2 linked regions of the Macaca fascicularis genome follow. Each later gene encodes a partner of the first gene's protein in a complex. Links are inferred from orthologs where the notes say so. Each region holds a gene or a part of one and is shown in the gene's direction. Other genes may lie near its edges. The genes, in order: EDAR and EDA.

Region 1 (4,555 bases):
CCAAGGCAGGTGGATCAGTTGAGGTCAGGAGTTCAAAACCAGCCTGGCCAACATGGCAAAACTCCGTCTCTACTAAAAATAGAAAAATTAGCTTGGCATGGTGGCGGGTGCCTATAATCCCAGCTACTTGGGAGGCTGGGGCAGGAGAATTGCTTGAACCTGGGGAGCAAAGGTTTCAGTGAGCCAAGATTGCACCACTGCACTCCAGCCTGGGCAACAGAGTGAGACTCCATCTCAAAAAAAAAAACAAAACTACACACACACATTGGCTGGTCTTTGGGACAGACTCCAGTAAAGAGGGTCCTGCTCTGTCTTCCTTTCGCTTCACCATGTTTGTGGAGTTGTTTGTCCTACTCGGCAGTTTAGCCAAGGATAGTGGTCCCCAGGCAGTCAATCTTCCCTCCACTGTGCTCCCTTCCAGGGCTGGCACGTGGCCTCTGCCAGCAGGGAGCCCTGCATGTGGGCTCAGTAGCTTGGGAAGCCCTTCTCCACAGGCAGAGCCAACACAGCTGAAGCTCATTTTCTCAGAAACCCTATAGCCAAACACAGTAGTGCTCCTGAAGTCAGTAGGGTTTCCTTACTATTTGAATGCACTTGGGCACCACAGAACTCTCTGATGACTTCTGTTCAGACAGAAGTTGACCATTTCCTCAGTCTTCAGGTTGAAAGAGCACCGGGTATGGCTGAGACCACAGGCTCTAACCCTGCATAACTGCACTGGGTCCCGTGACATGAGGCATAGGACTTCCTGTGCCCTGTGAGGAGTCACTCCACAGGAGCTCCGCCTGTGACTGGCCTCCAATACCACTGCATTTCTTAAAGCTTTGAAGGGACTTAATGCCAGTCTCTGCATAGTAAATCTAAACCCTTCACCCAAAGTTCATGTGTTAATTGCTAAGGTCATCTGACTTTAAAATATTGATAACAGAAATAACAAAGACGGAACTTGAGTAGGCAGCAACATGCTAGGCAGATAGGTCTTTGCATTCTTGAAATTTGATACATAAGATGGCAGAGGAGATAAAAGACCAGGAGGAGAGGCTTGCTTCAAAGTTGGTCTTATCAAAACACCTTGATATGTTAATGACTTTCTTTACAGAAGTTCAAGGCTATAAACTGCTTTAGATCCAAGGATATGGTGATGCTGAATGTTTTAATTGTGGTATTAACAGCCCCAGTTGTAAAAGGGAAGGTGTCACTCAGAGATGAGGGACAAGGCCCAAATTTTATAACTGAATTTAATTGGCACTGATTTGAGGTTGATAGTACCTGGTTTTTCCAGTTTTCAGGAAATACATCTTTGCCTGGGGGGGAGAGGGGGGAGCACAGAAGGGAAAGGTGGAGGGAGAGTACATGATGCAGGAGGGGAGGGGAGGGTGCTGCACATCAAAAGGCCCATCTTGAATTTCCTGTGATGTGCTAAAACCCCAGCCCCCCACCACCACATCAATGCACAGAGCAGTCACACCTCTCCTACATCAAACCCCAATTACTACACACCTAGGGAAGGTGCCCAGCTCTCCCACTGCAGCAGTCACCCAAATGAGAAGGAAGGAGGCACACAGACACCCAAAGGTAAGAGGAAAAGACCCAAAGCCAGTAGAGCCAAAGAGGAGAAAATCCTGATGGGGTGAAAACCTTCTAAGGATCTTCCTGTCTGTAATGTCTTTCTCTCCCCAAAAGACCTGCATCTGGGAACAACTGGGTCATTTATTATCTTTTTTTTTTGAGACAAAATCTCGCTCTGTCTCCCAGGCTGGGGTGCAGTGGCGTGATCTCGGCCTCCCAGGTTCATGCCATTCTCCTGCCTCGGCCTCCCAAGTAGCTGGGACTACAGGCGCCCGCCACCATGCCCGGCTCATTTTGCTTTTGTATTTTTAGTAGAGGCAGGGTTTCACCATGTTAGCCAGGATGGTCTCGATCTCCTGACCTCGTGATCCGCCTGCCTCTGCCTCCCAAAGTGCTGGGATCACAGGCGTGAGTCACCATGCCTGGCCCATTTATTATCATTAAAAGATGTAATCATGACACTCCGGACACTCAAAAAAAAAAAAAAAAAACCACTACCCTTCACACACACACACACACACATGCACACACACACACGTGCTTCACGCACACACATACTTTTCTGAGTGGGTGGCATAATTAAAACATGTTCGGGGGAATATTAAAATAAGTTTTTAGAATGTTCACGTAAAAGGCAGGTTGTGCTTTTGAAGAGAGTCTTAGATCATTAAAAAAATGTTAAATGTTAAGCTGAACTTTATATGATTTAATTAGAATTAATGAATCGTTCCTTATTCCAGACGTGCTGTTGTTAAGTATGTTTTGTCATGCTACACGGTTTGTGGAATTATTTCCAAACATTTGGGGTCTGTGGCTCTCTGGAAGGTCTTCTGATTAGGAACCTCAGCTCTCTGGGTAGAAGCAAGCCAACGGCTGCTGCCTGCTGTCACTTAGTGAGCGCCGAGTGTGGTGTAAGGGAGAGTGTGGATTCCAGCCCTGGGAAGCTCTCCTGTGGACACGCCTCCAGGACTTTTTCTTTCTGGAATTGGAGTGCTATTTGCTGCTCCATTTGCTCAGAGAAAGCTAGTTCTTTCAACAGCAGTCCCTTTGTTGTTAAAAGATTATCCTCATTTCACTCACTGGTGACTGTGGTTTGGTTGGGTTTTTGGATTTTGTTGAGGTTTTTTTTCCCCCCAAAGTACCTGATTTCCTCTTAGAGTAGGGACTTTTATTTCTCATATTTTGGGGTTCCTCTTCAGTCTAGGGAAGGATGGACAGCTCCATGACCTGATCCCTTTTCGTCACAGTTCCCTGTTAGTGGGACTGCTTTTGAGTCGTGGCATCATGTGGCAGAGACTGAGATTTGAACTGGAGTCCAGATGACCTGGCAGGGGCTTCTGGCTGTAGCACAGCTCACCGGTGGGACCTCAGAAAAGTCCTGGATCTCTCAGAGTCTCAGTTTCCCCAGGAGTAAATAAAAAACGTGCCCCATCTATATAAGCCTGGATGTTTTAAATTAGAACATTTCAGGGGGTGGGAGGGATCTGAAAGACTATCTTCTGTGCTGCCCAGTGGGGTAGGCACAGCCATATGTGTCTGTTTAAATTTAAATTAAGTAGAATTCATTAACATGAGAAACTCAGTGCTTCAGGGACGCTGGCCACAGTTCAGGCTCGGCAGCCACAGCGGCCATAGTCCTGGACAGTGCCAGGCTCGGCTGCCTCAGCTGATGGTTGAGGAAAACAGTCCAAGAAGTGAGTCCGGGATTGGCCCGTGCTCCAGCCAGAGCTGATCCTACTGGCTCCTCGGTCTGTGGTCATCTGCTTCTGAGTGTGTGGGTGTCTCTCCAGCTAGCTCACACTTTCCTCCCTCTGCCTCATCTTCCCAAGAGAAGGAAGAGTCTACAGATGGAAGGGCCCCTCTTTGCAGGTTGCAGGCCCCAGGCCAGGCAGTCCTGTGATACCCACAGCCTGGGAATTGCCCAGAATTGGCCGCAACATTCTGCAGAGCTCCCAGGTTCATTCTTCTGTTGAGAGGGCTGCTGGCTTTTGCAGATCATGGAGCTTTATCAAACGGAGTCTCTAAAACCCCTCTTGTAATTGTCTTCTATCTTGACTATATTGCTGTCCACACCTGACTGTGCAGGTGCTATCATCCTGTAATTTTACAAGATGAAACCGTTGGGGTACACTGGGTAATGGGGGACATGGGATCTCCCTGTATTATCTGTATTATCTCTGTATTATCACGAACAAGTGCACGTGAATCCACTTTCAAATAGAAAGCTTAATTTCTTTTAAATGTCCTTGTGCAATTTTTATAATTCGAATCTCTTAAATTTTAGAACGTCGGCTTTGGGCATCCTAGAAACAGATTTCGAAGGACCCTTGAAAGCAAACTGAATTCTTTTCCCATAGTTGCTGTGAACAATTTAACAGTGTGTGGTGCGTGATGATTTTTGCTTACGTAGCCCTTTTACATTGGCCACAGAATTTCAGATAAGAATACATCATGTAAAACTTCAGATGTATTTTCCCAAAACTGGAATATGTCTTTGTTGTACGACTCGTGCACACACTCAAACGGTTGAAGTTAGGGGTCTACAGCGGTTTGTGGCCTCTGCAGGGCTGGACAGGGGACTTACAAGTGACAATGAGTGAACTTCACTGACACAGAGCCACCGGACTTTGTTCAGTTCGATTGATCGCTGGCACAGATGTTCCTGACAAGGGTAAGACAAGTGCACAGTCAGCTTCCCTGTCCTTGGCATCTCTGTAGCTATCTCTCCTTATCTTGGAACAACACTGGGATTGTCTGCAGATCTCTTGTTTGTAGATCGTTGACAAAACCATTGAAGAGTGAGGATCTTTGGATTTCTGCTTTTAATTCAGCATCATTCTGTTGAGTCTCTTGGACAGAACAGTACTGCGGTTGATCTTGAAAAGAGTGTGTGTGCGATGGTGTCATGCCAGCAAGAGGTGGCCTTTGCATGGAAGGCCCTTGGATTACGTTCCTTTTTCATCACTTACTGGTTGTTTGAGCTTTG
Region 2 (4,338 bases), on another chromosome or scaffold:
GCCAGCAGATGCTTTTGGTTTTGTGTTTTATTTCTCTTCTTTTGTCTTCTTTTCTATCTCTATCTATGTTTTTCTTCTCTTCCACCAGCCTAGGTCTTAGGCCTACACATAAGTGCTCCTGGCATTGCTGAGCCTCCATGATGACACTCAAGATGCCCGCTGCAAGTCAATGAAATTGTTAATTATTCATTACTCAATTAATAACATGGAATGAGAGTGCGTAGTGACTATGAAGTGTACATGCTTCCCCTGCTGTAGTCATTTCACTTTCTATAATCTCAGACTAGTAACTCTTGTCAATTGTGACTCTTGATTTAACTAATCCTTTCCATCCTTCATTTCAGGGTCTATTGTTCTGCCATTTGCCACTTTTTTTTTTTCTTTCTCTGAACCCGTTTCTGATTGGTGCAGCTGTTGAAGATGCTGCAGTTGCAGCAGTATACATCTGGAACATTTGGCTGACTTGTTGAACTTCCCCCAGGGAGTACTCCAGGAGAAGGATGGGAGGGGTGGAGAGGCCAGAACAGTTGCCTGTAAATAAAGATGCCAGTAGTGTCTGACCATTCTGTGGACCACCCTTGTAAAAATCCACTTCATTCTGGCCCTCGGTTTCCCTATCTACTCACTGAAGGCGTATGTTCTCCAATCAAAACTGCTGCAGTGGAAGAAATCTATTCTGGCTGTGGATGCTCTCATACAGCATTTTCTGCATTGTATCAATAGATATTTGTTGAATTAATTAAGAAATCCTAGGAGACTGTTTTACCCTTCATGGGACAACATCATTTCAGTTCCGCTTGGCATGGGTCGGCTTCTCTGTTACTTAGATTGAGCCTTCAGAGTCACTCCAGGAGTGAGGCTGCTTGAGTCCCACCCATTCCCATAGTTCCCAGGCTCCTGGGTCTCCTTTTCTTCGGGCGAGCCATTGAATTGCAAACACAGCAGGCATGGTTTCATTCCAAACCCGGAGCTGTTTTAATTAGTTTAACGTCTGTTAAACGCTTTGAAGATTGGAAGCAACAGATAAGTACTGGATGATGTTATTAACAACTGCAGTTAATTGCGAACATTTCTATTAATGCTAGTTTCTGCCTCCTTTTCTTTGCTCTACTTTCTTTCCAAGGTTCCCAAATTCGTAGCCTCCCCCTCTTTTCCTCCCCGTACTGGCGATATAGGGTTAAACTGGGGCGGAGCCCAGGGATGAACGACGGCGCCAGTCACCAACTGGGACGGGGCAAGCGGGAAGAGCTGGGTGGGGCGGCCAGACAGAGGCGAACCCTCACGCCCCCAGGCCCCGCCCCGCGGCTGGACGCCCGGTTGGAACGGCACGGGGCGGGGCGCCGAGGCTTGGCGGCCCCGTGGTTGGGCGTCCCGGCAGCCGCTTGAGGGATGGGGCGGGGTCGGCCGGGACCTCCTCCTTCATTCCCTCGGCGGGCCGAGCCGTCCCTCTCTCCCGCCCCTCCTCCTCCCTTTCCCACCCCTCGGAGTGGAGCTGCACATGCGGCTGCTCCCTGCTCCGTCCCGCCCAGCCACCGTCGCGCAGGAACGGGTCCCTGCAGCCCCCAGCCGATGGCAGGACAGTAGCCGCCTGTCAGAGGTCGTGAACGGCTGAGGCAGACGCAGCGGCTCCCGGGCCTCAAGAGAGTGGGTGTCTCCGGAGGCCATGGGCTACCCGGAGGTGGAGCGCAGGGAACTCCTGCCTGCGGCAGCGCCACGGGAGCGAGGGAGCCAGGGCTGCGGGTGTCGCGGGGCCCCTGCCCGGGCGGGAGAAGGGAACAGTTGCCTGCTCTTCCTGGGTTTCTTTGGCCTCTCGCTGGCCCTCCACCTGCTGACGTTGTGCTGCTACCTAGAGTTGCGCTCGGAGTTGCGGCGGGAACGGGGAGCCGAGTCCCGCCTTGGCGGCTCGGGCACCCCTGGCACCTCTGGCACCCTAAGCAGCCTCGGTGGCCTCGACCCTGACAGCCCCATCACCACTCACCTTGGGCAGCCGTCACCTCAGCAGCAGCCGTTGGAACCGGGAGAAGCTGCACTCCCCTCTGACTCCCAGGACGGGCACCAGGTGAGTCACCTAGTAGGGGCGGCGGCGGCCCCCTCCCCTCGCGGGTAGGGCGAGGGCCCTCCGCCACAGGGGCCTGGGGGCACTCTGCCACCTCGAGCCAATTTAGAGGGCAGGACCAGGGAGGGACCAGGCGAGCAGGGGAGAGGTTGTCCAGGGCAGGTTGTCTTCGGTCCCTGGCCCAATCTGGACTCCCTGGGGACCCCTTGACTTGGAAAGTCTAGCGCGCGCCCGCGGCCCCTGGCTGCGGGCTGCCTGGAGAAAAGTTGGCGAAGCTCCCGTCGAGGAGGTGCCTGCGCTGCCCCCCGGCCGACTAACGGCTTGGCCCTTCTGCTCGTGATGAGGTTCTCTGCCCGCGGTGCTTGTTTTTTCGTGTCTAGAGCTGATGCCAGAACCAGCAGGCTCCCCTTTGGAGTTGGAGCTGTAAACAGCTGTAATAACTGCTCCACGCCCGCCTGTTGAAACAACTTTTAACCGCATTTTCAGCGCGGGTCCTTGTGCGCTGACCAGAACGTGGGCTTGTTCACACTTACCTGCAATTTGAGACTGATTGTCCTCAGCGTTCTAGTGAGGATCAGCGCCCCTGAGGAATTCTGGTAGAAATATGCCGTCTTGCTAGACAACTTCTGAACAGCAATTTAAAAAATCTATGGAAATAAAACTCACCCTTTGCATGCCGGTTCTGATTCTTAAGCGGGGTAGGTGTGCGGTGGGAAGGGTGGGTGGGAAGCGCTTTTGCTACTGCTAGCTTGAGAACAGGAATCTGCCAATGGAATAATTACTCAGGACTAGTCCCCCAAGAGCAGTTTTGTTTTGTTTGTTTTTGCAGCCTTTATGGTGTTTGTGCCCTTATTAGCAAACTATTAGCTTTGGCGTTTGTTTTCCACTCTTTCTAGCTCTTTATTCAAGTAAATTTAGTTCACTTAATGTAAATATTGTCTTCGTTGCCATATGTGAAACTTAGGAGAAGCATCCAAGGATCCTTTTGAGGTGGCTAAAGAATAATAGTAAAATTGTACCTCTTAGGGAAGAGAGCAAGTTGTACAAATAAGTTCCTTGAGGTGAGGGACCCAAGCCTTCTATATTTACTTCCACATCCAGAGTCATTGTCACAACTCTGTAAACATTATTTGTGCCACTTTGACCTCCCATCTAAAGTGGTACACTTGATAGAGACATCACATTCATGATCATAGTGTAATGTTAGGACTGATACTTTAAAAAAAAAAAAACAAAAAACAACAACAACAAAAAAGATGTCCGTTGTAAAGTTGCCTTGAGCCTTAAAATGTCTTACTAGCACACTCCAATTTATATAACAGCTTATCAAAGAAGAGAATCAGCAGACATGCTTCTCATACTTGAAACTTTAAACATTGTAGCTAAACGATAATTAACTAGGATTCTGACTCCTTTTATTTATCTACTGCCACTCCCGCCACACCCCAATGCCCAGTAGAAATATTTAGCAGCTGAACATTGATATTCTGTGAAAAGATGAAAAAATTAAACTTCTTTAGTCAAATGTTGGCCAAGACTTTTTGGCATTCAGGATGGACAGAGCCGCTTTTATAGACTGGGGATTAGCAGAACAGCTGTACTCTAGGGCTTCTGTGATGGCATGAAACTCTTACAGGTGTGTAATGGCATTTAGTTACCTCCCTTTGTGTGACACTAAAATAGTTCTCTCTAGGTTTAAACACAGCTTCCTACCTTCTGTCCTTTATTCTTTCTGTTTTAATATTTTTGAGCAATAGAAGCAAGGATACTAGCTCTTTACATTTGTTGACATCAGTTGGAATCAGTTTCCTAGAGTTATGAAGGGCTTATATGAGTCCATTTTGTTTGATTCCCTTGGGAAACATAGGCCCTAATGGGAAAGTGACTTGCCCAAGGTCACATAACTAGAGTCAAAACTGGGATGATAGTTGCTCTCTTAACTCCTAGTTCAGTGCTCATTCCCTCAACTACCTCCTGGGACCTTTTGCGAGGGAGCAAGATGGAGCTCCATATTAGAACTTTTGCAAAGTAGAGCACTCAGATCTGCATCATTTTGTTCTACTCTACCTGTATTTTGACCACAGTAAGTTTAACCATGTATTCCTTATTCTTCCTGAACTTCACTTTCAGATTTGGAGTATACTTTGAAGGAATTTTAGCCCAAAATCAACTTAAGTTTAAGTTATTCAACTTGTGTATCTTATCTTGTATATTAGTTTTAGTATACAAAAATAAGTTTTTTAAAAAGTTGATTGGGTATTAAATTAATACTGCTACAAGCT

The links.
Region 2: the proteins of EDAR (region 1) and EDA are in contact, whole or in part, in a crystal structure (PDB 7X9G), measured with the Homo sapiens proteins. The link is inferred for Macaca fascicularis from reciprocal best matches to the Homo sapiens genes EDAR and EDA. Residues at the interface, in NP_071731.1 of Homo sapiens: Glu55, Pro56, Tyr57, Leu58, Lys78, Ile86, Arg88, Arg89, His90, Asp92, Glu94, Gly95, Phe97, Val134; in NP_001390.1 of Homo sapiens: Gln256, Ser258, Ala259, Gln261, Asp265, Asp273, Arg289, Tyr310, Tyr311, Lys340, Thr341, Tyr343, Ser370.

The regions. Positions count from the first base shown.
Region 1 is NC_088387.1:16,470,630-16,475,184, reverse strand, and holds the start of EDAR (tumor necrosis factor receptor superfamily member EDAR), read left to right. Parts: upstream 1-1,529; 5' UTR 1,530-1,542; coding exon 1,543-1,575; intron 1,576-4,555. UniProt on the Homo sapiens protein: Receptor for EDA isoform A1, but not for EDA isoform A2. Mediates the activation of NF-kappa-B and JNK. May promote caspase-independent cell death.
Region 2 is NC_088395.1:76,350,964-76,355,301, forward strand, and holds the start of EDA (ectodysplasin-A), read left to right. Parts: upstream 1-1,469; 5' UTR 1,470-1,663; coding exon 1,664-2,059; intron 2,060-4,338. UniProt on the Homo sapiens protein: Cytokine which is involved in epithelial-mesenchymal signaling during morphogenesis of ectodermal organs. Functions as a ligand activating the DEATH-domain containing receptors EDAR and EDA2R. May also play a role in cell adhesion.